2 linked regions of the Oryzias latipes genome follow. The protein of the gene in region 1 interacts with the protein of each later gene in a biochemical or structural test. Links are inferred from orthologs where the notes say so. Each region holds a gene or a part of one and is shown in the gene's direction. Other genes may lie near its edges.

What was found.
Region 2: the proteins of poli (region 1) and polh interact in far-western blotting, tested with the Homo sapiens proteins (2 studies listed by BioGRID). The link is inferred for Oryzias latipes from reciprocal best matches to the Homo sapiens genes POLI and POLH.

Annotation. Positions count from the first base shown.
Region 1 is NC_019867.2:1,943,654-1,948,463, reverse strand, and holds the start of poli (DNA polymerase iota), read left to right. Parts: upstream 1-1,734; 5' UTR 1,735-1,862; coding exon 1,863-1,947; intron 1,948-2,024; coding exon 2,025-2,144; intron 2,145-2,786; exon of another isoform or gene 2,787-2,832; coding exon 2,833-2,997; intron 2,998-3,112; coding exon 3,113-3,259; intron 3,260-3,401; coding exon 3,402-3,638; intron 3,639-3,714; coding exon 3,715-3,893; intron 3,894-4,547; coding exon 4,548-4,639; intron 4,640-4,728; coding exon 4,729-4,810. UniProt on the Homo sapiens protein: Error-prone DNA polymerase specifically involved in DNA repair. Plays an important role in translesion synthesis, where the normal high-fidelity DNA polymerases cannot proceed and DNA synthesis stalls. Favors Hoogsteen base-pairing in the active site.
Region 2 is NC_019873.2:20,691,752-20,696,584, reverse strand, and holds the start of polh (DNA polymerase eta), read left to right. Parts: upstream 1-1,816; 5' UTR 1,817-2,024; coding exon 2,025-2,161; intron 2,162-2,458; coding exon 2,459-2,593; intron 2,594-2,672; coding exon 2,673-2,914; intron 2,915-3,036; coding exon 3,037-3,215; intron 3,216-3,281; coding exon 3,282-3,385; intron 3,386-3,454; coding exon 3,455-3,574; intron 3,575-3,995; coding exon 3,996-4,119; intron 4,120-4,199; coding exon 4,200-4,265; intron 4,266-4,346; coding exon 4,347-4,519; intron 4,520-4,597; coding exon 4,598-4,833. Other genes in the region: uncharacterized protein LOC105355791, read right to left, coding at 1-322, 519-564. UniProt on the Homo sapiens protein: DNA polymerase specifically involved in the DNA repair by translesion synthesis (TLS). Due to low processivity on both damaged and normal DNA, cooperates with the heterotetrameric (REV3L, REV7, POLD2 and POLD3) POLZ complex for complete bypass of DNA lesions.

The DNA of each region.
Region 1 (4,810 bases):
TTTTATAGGCCTTCCGCCACCCTCCCACCCCTAAAATCAGGGTTTGAATATAAAACTGCTCTTCTGTCACGTTGTTAATTTTTATAAAATCAATTGTAGATTTTGATCTGAAAACAGAAATATTTATTTCTCCTCCCGACTTTAACAAAATTTAAGAAACTTTAAATGCAAGAAAACTGATCAGCAATTAAAAAATTACCAAAACACAAAAAATGTCCGTGTCCGGAACAGTTAGTTTTAAAAAAAAAGTAAAAATTATGTACGACTGAGTTTTAGGGCCAGTTTACAAAAAAAAAAAAAAAAAAAAAAACTTTAAAGTCGTGATTAAAACAAGAGGAAATATTACCATGAATATTCCTAAATTTGTTAGAAAAAAGTAATCCGCAAATTTAGGATAAAAAAGTAGGACTTTAAATCTCGTAATACTACTTTTGTTTTGGGTGGCCCTAAAACTCCATCATAATTATGAAATCATATTGCATTCATTTGAAAAAGAGAATCTGAGGTTTTTCGGGATACTTTTGTTTGCGTTTTTTTTCCCCAGTGGATCGTAAGATAATTTTTTTTTTTAAAGTGTATTGCATTCAATTGTAAATGAAAAAAGATCATTCAAATCTTTTCCACATTTTCATTCGAACATGTTTAAGAACTACAAACAGGCTGGGCTCTAACCTCATCTGCTCATGGAAATTATAAGATGAGCAGAAAATGTGTTCTTCTTTTCTTTTATAATATGTTTTAGATTTTTTTTTAATACATGAAACGTTTTTTGTGTTTGTTTGCTTGTTTTAATTAAATGCAAAATGTTTCCATACTTTCATACTATGGAAGCACTTGTGTCTCATAATTAAAAATGAAAGTCAGTACCAGAAATGCCTTTTCATTTTCACAACAAAGCTGCGTTTGTTGACTTTGTTTGACAATTCAAGAAGAAAAAGAAAAAGCAGTTTGGCAGATTGATTTTTCATTTTATTTTTGAGTTGACAAACGCAGCTTCATTGTGAAAAGGAAAAACTGTTAATCTGTTAATCCATTTTAATTGTCAAATTAGATATTTCTAGTTGAATGTTGATACACATTTACTAGAGAACTTTTTGAAAATGAAATGTCAAACACCATTCTCTTTATCCTTTTATTAAAGGTGACAGATTAAACTTTGTTGAAGAAACGAAAATGCCGTTTGGCAGATTGATTTTTCATTTTCTTTTAAATAGATAGATATAGATAGATAGATAGATAGATAGATAGATAGATAGATAGATAGATAGATAGATAGATAGATAGATAGATAGATAGATAGATAGATAGATAGATAGATAGATAGATAGATAGATAGATAGATAGATAGATAGATAGATAGATAGATAGATAGATAGATAGACAACTTTATTTATCAATGGGGGAGGTTCCCGCATGGAAATTGACATCTCCATCGCATACAGCACTGGTTGACATACGTATATGAAAGAGCAGTACAGTATCCAGAAAAATTAGAACAGTAAAAACAGTAACAGTTTAAATATCTGCAGAACAGCATATACAAAAAAAAGTCATTCAGGCCCTTTCCCTTTCCTTTTCTGTCCCCCTCCCCCTTTAAGTCAACAAATGCAGCTTTATTGTGAAAATGAAAAAGCATTTCTAGTACCGACTTTTATTTTTTAATTATGCTACACAAACGCTTCCATACATGGCTTTCTTAAGGAGGGGGGAAATAGGAAATCCAGGTTCGTCTTCCACACCAGTTGGTGGCGGTAATGAGCTTCTTAGCTGTTTTGGCGCCGCTATTTCAACCACAGAAGAAGAACCCTGGCTGAATCTTTTACACTTCAGATGTTTTTACAAACTTTAGACTCATAAATAAAATGGACAGCAGCGATGAAGAGATGGACGGAGACGATGGCCAGTGGAGGAGCCAGTTCACGGGTCCAGAAGAACCCGCCACTTCCGGTAAACTCTGAAGCTTTAAGCTAGCCCGTGTCGGAGCTCGCGGCTGTCATGAACTTCAGTTGTGTCTCCGTTTTCAGGATGGAGCGTAAATAATCCTCCAGGAGCTCCTCACAGAGTAATTCTCCACTTTGACCTGGACTGTTTCTACGCTCAGGTGGAGATGATCAGAGATCCTTCTCTGAGGGAGGTTCCTTTAGGTAAATTCTCTGTTTTAGGCAATTTTCCACCGTTTTCTTGTTTCTGCTGCAGTTTTCTTTTTTGATTTCAGATTCCCGCCTTTCATGGAGTTTTTTTCTTCTTCATTTTATTCCATTTAGATGACATTTTACCGTTATGACCATTTATGGACATTATATAATTGCACTTCCCCACTAAATAATAAATTTATTTCCATTTGACATTTAATATTTAATGGATTAAGTGTAGTTTTTAATATTTCTGTGTATAATTAAAGGTAATTATAATGACCTCATTAACATGTGGATATATTTATATGGAGATTAATGTAGGCTACATGTGTGTCTATAAATATATTTGTGTATATTTCTATACCATCTTTTTCTTTAAAGGTTTTTTCCAGTTGTTTCATAGCAAATAACCCTAAGTTCTAATGTATTTATGTACAGATAAGTATTTATTTAGTTTACTTTTTTCTGTTTTAAATTCCAGATTAACCGCACTAGAGCAATCTGGAATAAACTGGATTAAAGCAAAAACACAGGAACAAAACTTTGTTAAACATAAATGTATAAACTTAATTTAAAGGACGAACAATACATTGTAACAGATAGGAAATCTCAGAGCAAAACTCAGTATCCAGGTGTGACTTAGTTATATACCTCTTAGAATTTAAAGTTGCTCAAACGATGACGTCTGTGTCCTCAGGCATCCAGCAGAAGTACATCATCGTCACCTGTAATTACGTGGCGAGGGAGCGCGGCGTCACCAAGCTGATGTCTGTAACCGATGCCAAAGAAAAATGTCCAGAGCTGGTTCTGGTCCGAGGAGAAGACCTGACGCTCTACAGAGAGGCTTCCCATCAAGTGACAGGCAGGAATCTGGAGCCGTTCTTAGGCTAATTAAAAACAGATCTACAGGATCAGATTGTGGAGAAGAGCGATCCTGAGACTCTGATTGACTTTACCTGCCGTTTTCCTCCTCTCAGAGCTGCTGTCGTCTTTCTGTCCTTTGGTGGAGAGACTTGGCTTTGACGAAAACTTCATGGACGTCACAGAGATGGTGGAAAGGCGGATGAAGGAGACGCCGCCGCCTGAAGGATATTCGTTTTCTGGACACGTCTACAACCCTTCCAGTGAGTTGGACTCGCATCGCTGCTGCAAACCGTCGCTGTCAGGAAACTGAGAGGAACTTGCAAATCAGGATATTTGCATGAGAATCTCGGTTTCTTTCCTGCAAGCGGTCCGTTTTTTGCAGAACGCCATGCCTCTGTGCAGACGCAGAGATCAGCGGCAGCGACCACCCGCGGCTGGCTTTGGGCTCCTACATCGCGGCCGAGCTGAGGGACGCGGTCCACAGCAGACTGGGCCTGACGGGCTGCGCCGGCGTCGCCACCAACAAGCTGCTGGCCAAGCTGGTTTCAGGCACCTTCAAGCCCAACCAGCAGACGGTCCTGCTGCCGGAGGACGTCGGCCACATCATGGAGTCACTGGGCGGAGTTCGGAAAGTTCCAGGTACGGAAAGATGGCCTCCTAAAAAGCAAACCTGTGGCGTGTTTGAGAAACTGTTCAACCTGGACGCTGCCCTCAGGTGTGGGGCATCAAACGGCTAAAAAACTCCACCAGCTGGGCGTGGTTAGCGTGAAGGACCTGCAGCTCCTCCCACTGCCTGACTTGGTGAAGGAGTTCGGAGGCGCTGTTGCTCGGCGCCTGAGGAATCTCTCCCTGGGTGTTGATGACTCACCTGTCACCCCCAGCGGGGCTCCCCAGGTGAGTCGGGACATTCGCTGAGCTTCTGACAAAAATACAGACTTTGATTAGATCAAAAAAGTAAAATATATACCACACAGTTTTTTTTCTTTTTTAAATGACTTTAATATGATAAAACGAATGATATCTGATTGAACACAGACAAAGGAAATGTGTCAGTTCTGGTTGTTTTTGATCTCAGTGCGGCATTTGTCCATTGGTAATTTCACATCTGAGCTAGCAGAAATTATATGTGGAGTTCCCCAAGGCTCCATCCTGGGGCCACTTTTTCTATTTAGCATTAACATCAGGGCTAATATATATATGTACATATAGTTTATATTTATACTTTTTCTAAAGTTTTTATTTGAATAATCACCCCTTTAATATTCTTGTTAAATATTTCTTTAAATTTTTTTGCCTGGAATTATTTTTGATCCCAAAATCACCCGAGTTAACGACATCATTTTTACTTTTCTTACAAAATAAAAGTCTTGTTTCTGTGATTCTGATACTTAAAGAGTTTCATTGTTGATTGAGGAGCAAACAAATAGATTTATTGACACTGTTTTCTATTACATTATTTTCTATATGATTTTATTTTATTGAGGTTCAAAGGAGTGAATGAAGAACTGAAGCTTCATCTAAAAACTCCTGTCGTGTTTTGTGCTTCAGTCTCTCAGCGATGAAGATTCCTTCAAGAAGATGAGCTCCGAGGCCGAAGTGGTGGAGAAGATCCAGCAGCTCCTCAGCCGTCTGGTGGAAAGGTCAAAGCAGCTCCAGCTGCCCTCACCGCCCACCATGTGCCAGCGCTTTGCTCCTCCTAACATTTCGGTCTTTTATTTTGGCGAAAAAGGATGCAGAAGGACGGCAGGCAGCCTCAAACCTTCCGGCTCACCATCCGCAGATACACGCCAACCAACAAGTGGTTCAGCCGG
Region 2 (4,833 bases), on another chromosome or scaffold:
GAGACAGACAAACGAAAATATTCTCCAACATCAGCCCCGCCATCGATTTCCACAACACACCAGTAATCAGAGTCTGTACTTTCAACATGGTTAATGTTCAATGTGAACGTTTTCTGTTCTTTGTCATCTTGAACTGAAAACTTTCCAGATGTGTCAGGTTTGTTGGTTTTAACTACATCTGAGCAAGTGGCCCAATAAAATCCTTTACACAAATATTTCACATGTTTTTCATATTTTGACTCATAGAGACAAGGGATAGAGATGGATTCTCCGGGCTTCACTGATGTTTCTTTGACTGTAGTTATGCTACAATAGCAAACTCCTGCAAAAATAAAAATAAAAAATGTATTCAGAGGGGAACCATTAGCTATTCCACAATTTGATTCAAACCAAAGACTTTTTTACATTAAGTCAAGACAAATAAGTACTTTAAATAATTTAAAATAATGTGAGAAGCACAGATAGTGTAAGCCATGTTAATTACAAAAATAAAAGTAAATGTTAACGATTCTTCTTACCTGTTAGACCAACAAGTATCAGAAAACAATTGGAAAGAAAGATCATTTTACGCTGTGTCCAAATTCCCACTCTAAACCCTAACCATTTAAAAACGATATGAGTAGTGAAGGACTTCAGACAGAGTCACTGATGGTTAGAGACACGCAACAAAAACTGATGCAATGGATCTGTCCTTTAACTGAATTTCTACTTCCCCTTTTTTAAGCCAATAACTACATCTCTAAGCTGTTTCCAGCAATTATTTAAACAATGACAAATAAGATAAAGAGTGCCTGGCAATGGGAAAATGTTCTGCAGAACCGTTTAGATGTAAACCCACTTTTATTCAGGGTGATGTTCACTGTTGCTTTTTTGTTTATTATTGTTGAAGTTTATTTCCTAACGAATATTTCCGTAGTATTTTTCAGCAAGTACTAAGTTTTAAAACAAAAAAGTTTCTTTAATTTTGAAAACATTCTCTGACAGATCTCAAGTATGATTTACTTTTGCAGAAAAGAATTTTAGAAATTGCCAGTGAAGAACAACAACAAACAAAAAATTAAGAAAAACCTTGTCAAATAAGATTAATATGATTTTGTTTTCTACAATAGTGTGGCAATGATAAAGAGACACGTCTTGTCTTTTGAAGGTGAAGCTTTAGTTTAAAAAAGGCAAATCTAACAGACTGCAGCTGTTAAAATCAGTTAGATTATTATCTAAAATGTGAAGAAATGTTCTCATTTAAACTCATGTTAAAACCTTTGTCGTAATCATCCCAACACAGACATTTCAACTGAAATATTTATGCTGACTAATTGACTCAATTGAAAAAGTATTTTTTTTTAACAAAACAATGCTTTTTGGAAAATGAAATGCATTTAGAAATGCATCCTTCCTAACCATACATTTTTGAAAGTACCTAAATGTACCCTGCTGTCTTAACTTTTGTGTTTATTCTAACAAAGTCTCAGTAATAAAAAATAAAAAGAAATCCCCTTTTACCCCAAAATATTAATTATTATTTAAAAAAAATACCGGGATAAGCCCGCGTGCATGAGAAACAAGCTGGTTTGTTTCTTAAATCTTTCTTCTTTTTTGGGAGTTTGGTTCATAGATAGATTTATAATAAAAAACTTAAGATTCTTTAAAAAACAACATTGATTTGGGACAACAAGAATTTTGTGGAAAAATATTATGGTCAATCGTTCCCGCATTATTTTTCTTTTATTGATAAAAGTAAAACATGTTATTATTATCATTATTATTTCTTGTTTATATTTTCAATAAAGTTAAAATAAAAAAAACGATCGTCGCCTGTTGATGACGTTTTTCCAGAGGCAAATTTGTCTGCCCGAAATATAAAGCTATAAAGCCGAATGTTTCCTGTACAGATCGGGTAGCGACAGCGACAGTCAACTTTAACTAAACAGGTTATGGTTAAAGTTCAAACCCGACCATGAACTAGTCACACACATTCAGTGGACGCATGCGTATTTAGTCGAAAAGGCTACTTGTCTTCGATTATCATGGAGTACGGAAAGGAGAGGGTGGTGGCTTTGGTGGACATGGACTGCTTCTACGTCCAGGTGGAGCAGAGGCTGAATCCAGCTCTGCGGAACACCCCCTGTGTGGTGGCGCAGTACAAAACCTGGAAGGGTGGCGGGTGAGTTCCTGACAGACTACTGAGTTTGGAACCATCAGCATAGATCACAGACGCGGTCTTTCGTGCAGCATCTCTTGCATTCAGCCGTGAAAACAGGAAGTTAGTTACGTCTGCCTCTATTTAGTCCAGGCTGCTCATTTAAATCTGGTCTACTTAGGCGGGAAATGTGTGTGGCATTTACTGATATTACTACCACAAGTAGTAATAATGAATGTTTATTCAAAATACAAAACGTCTCTTACTCTGCTGCCAGACTTTAACGGTTGCTGGCTTTTTTTATTTTTATTATTATATCAGTATTATAGCTGTCAGCTATGAAGCCAGAGCCCACGGTGTAACCAGGAACATGTGGGTGGATGATGCAAAAAAGCTGTGCCCGGATCTGCAGGTGGCTCGAGTCCGTGAGTCTCACGGCAAAGCCGACCTAACCCAGTAAGTCGGAGTCCTTGAGGGTAACCCACCTCCTGTCTGATGAGCGAAGGCTACGTGTACGAGCGCCCTCCGTTTGCAGTTACAGGGATGCCAGCGTGGAGGTGATCGAGGTGATGTCTCGCTTTGCCGTGATCGAGCGAGCCAGCATCGATGAGGCCTACATGGACTTGACGGCTGCCGTCCAGCAGCGGCTGAAGACCACGACTGAGGAACAAATGAGCCCTTGCCTCCTGAAGACCACTTACATTCAGGGGTATCCTCAAAGTGGACTGGATCCTCCCTCCGCAGATGCATCTCCAGAAGAGATGATTTTATATAAAGGTAACTTCTGACCTAACTTTAGGATGTATTATTCCATTTCTTAAGATTGTTGGTTGTTTTTCTTTTTAGACCAGAGGTAATGAAGGGGTTCGATTGTATTTACTCATCATTTTTCCCTGCAGAGGAGCTGAGATCCAAAGGTCTTCAGCAGTGGATGGAATCCTTACCTACGCCCTCATCAGGGGAGCTGAATTGTGCAGAACTGCAGCTGACCATGGGAGCGCTCATTGTTGAGGAGATGAGGGCTGCAGTGGAGAAACAAACGGGTTTCCGTTGCTCCGCAGGAATATCTCACAACAAGGTAGAGCCAAATCTTTTTTTCTGCAAAATCAGTAGCAACAGTTTAAGGTTAGCTTTCTTTTTTCAGGTCCTGGCTAAGCTCGCCTGCGGTCTGAACAAACCCAACAGACAAACCGTCTTGCCTTTGGAATCTGTGACGGAGCTTTTCAACTCTTTGCCCATTGGCAAGATGTGAGTCTAAAGCTTCACTCCAATAAAAGCACAATAAAAGCAAATGGTGACGCTGCTCTTCTTGTTCAGTCGGAACCTGGGGGGTAAGATGGGGGCTTCGATAATTGAAACTCTGAAAGTGGAGAACATGGGAGATCTCACTCGCTTCTCTCAGTCCCAACTGGTGCAGCACTTTGGAGAAAAAACAGGGTAAGAAAGCCACTGTTGTGATATGTCTGACCAAGATCACTTTTTTTTTTTTTAGATATATGCCCCCCCCCCCCCCCCTCTTTTTATTGTATTTGCATCTCTCTGTTTGCAGCCGGTTAAGTGACGAGTAAGAACAATAATCTGCAATTTTGAAATGTTAGATGCTTTGTCTTTATGGATACAGTTGTTTTTTAATTCAAATGATTAGACCTTCAGAGTTGAAAGACTAATGGAGCAAAACAAATGACATGTCCTAAAATCCAAAAACTAAACCATAAGCACAAAAACTAAATGACAAGAAAATGACACAAGTTCAGATATAATAGATACATATGGCTGTCATTCATAGTCAAAAACAAAAGAAAAGGTGACTAAAATCTATGAAATGGGTCAATCACACCTTCTGGATCTCTGTTTGCAGCCAGTGGCTTTATGACTTGTGCCGAGGGGTCGAGTCTGAAGCTGTTAAGCCCAGGCAGCTTCCCAAGTCTATTGGCTGCAGTAAAAACTTCCCTGGAAAGACGTCTCTAGCCACTAAAGAACAGGTAGAGCCGCATTTATTGCATGTTCCATCTCGTTGTCTGAAATTTGTCCCCTTCAATGCAACAATGAATGATCTGTGTAGGTACAGTACTGGCTTCATCAGCTGGCCCTGGAACTGGAAGAAAGGCTGAACAAAGACAAAGAAACGGTGAGCCTTTAGTTTTGTTTAGTGTATTTCTGATGACGTTCTAGTTGTGAAAGCTTATTATTTTTGTTCCTTTGCTCATAGAATGGTCGAGTGGCTAAGTTGTTGACGGTTGGTGTGCGTCAGCTTGGTGATAAGAGGCCCAGCAGCTTCTCTCGATGCTGCGCTTTGGTGCACTATGAGGCAGCCAAACTATCTAGTGACAGCTTTGCCATTATCAAGAGCCTCAACACAGCAGGAAACCACCAGGCTGCATGGTAATTTGGGGGGAGCAATGCAGTGGGACAATAAAACTGCAGGTTGATTTATTTAATAAGTGTGTCTTGTGTCTCCAGGACTCCACCGCTCACCTTGCTGCACCTCTCTGCTAGCAAGTTCAGCGACGCGCCGTCGTCCGGGGGGATTGCCGGCTTTCTCTCAGCCGGCGTCGCTCCAGGCCGGAGCGTTTCCGCCACCTCTAAAGTCTCAACTCCGCAGGCCTCTGAGCTGAAACAAGACTCTGCATGTAAACAGCGCGGGAGCATTCAGGCCTTCTTTCAAAAGGCACCAGTGAAACAGAAAGGGGTTAGGA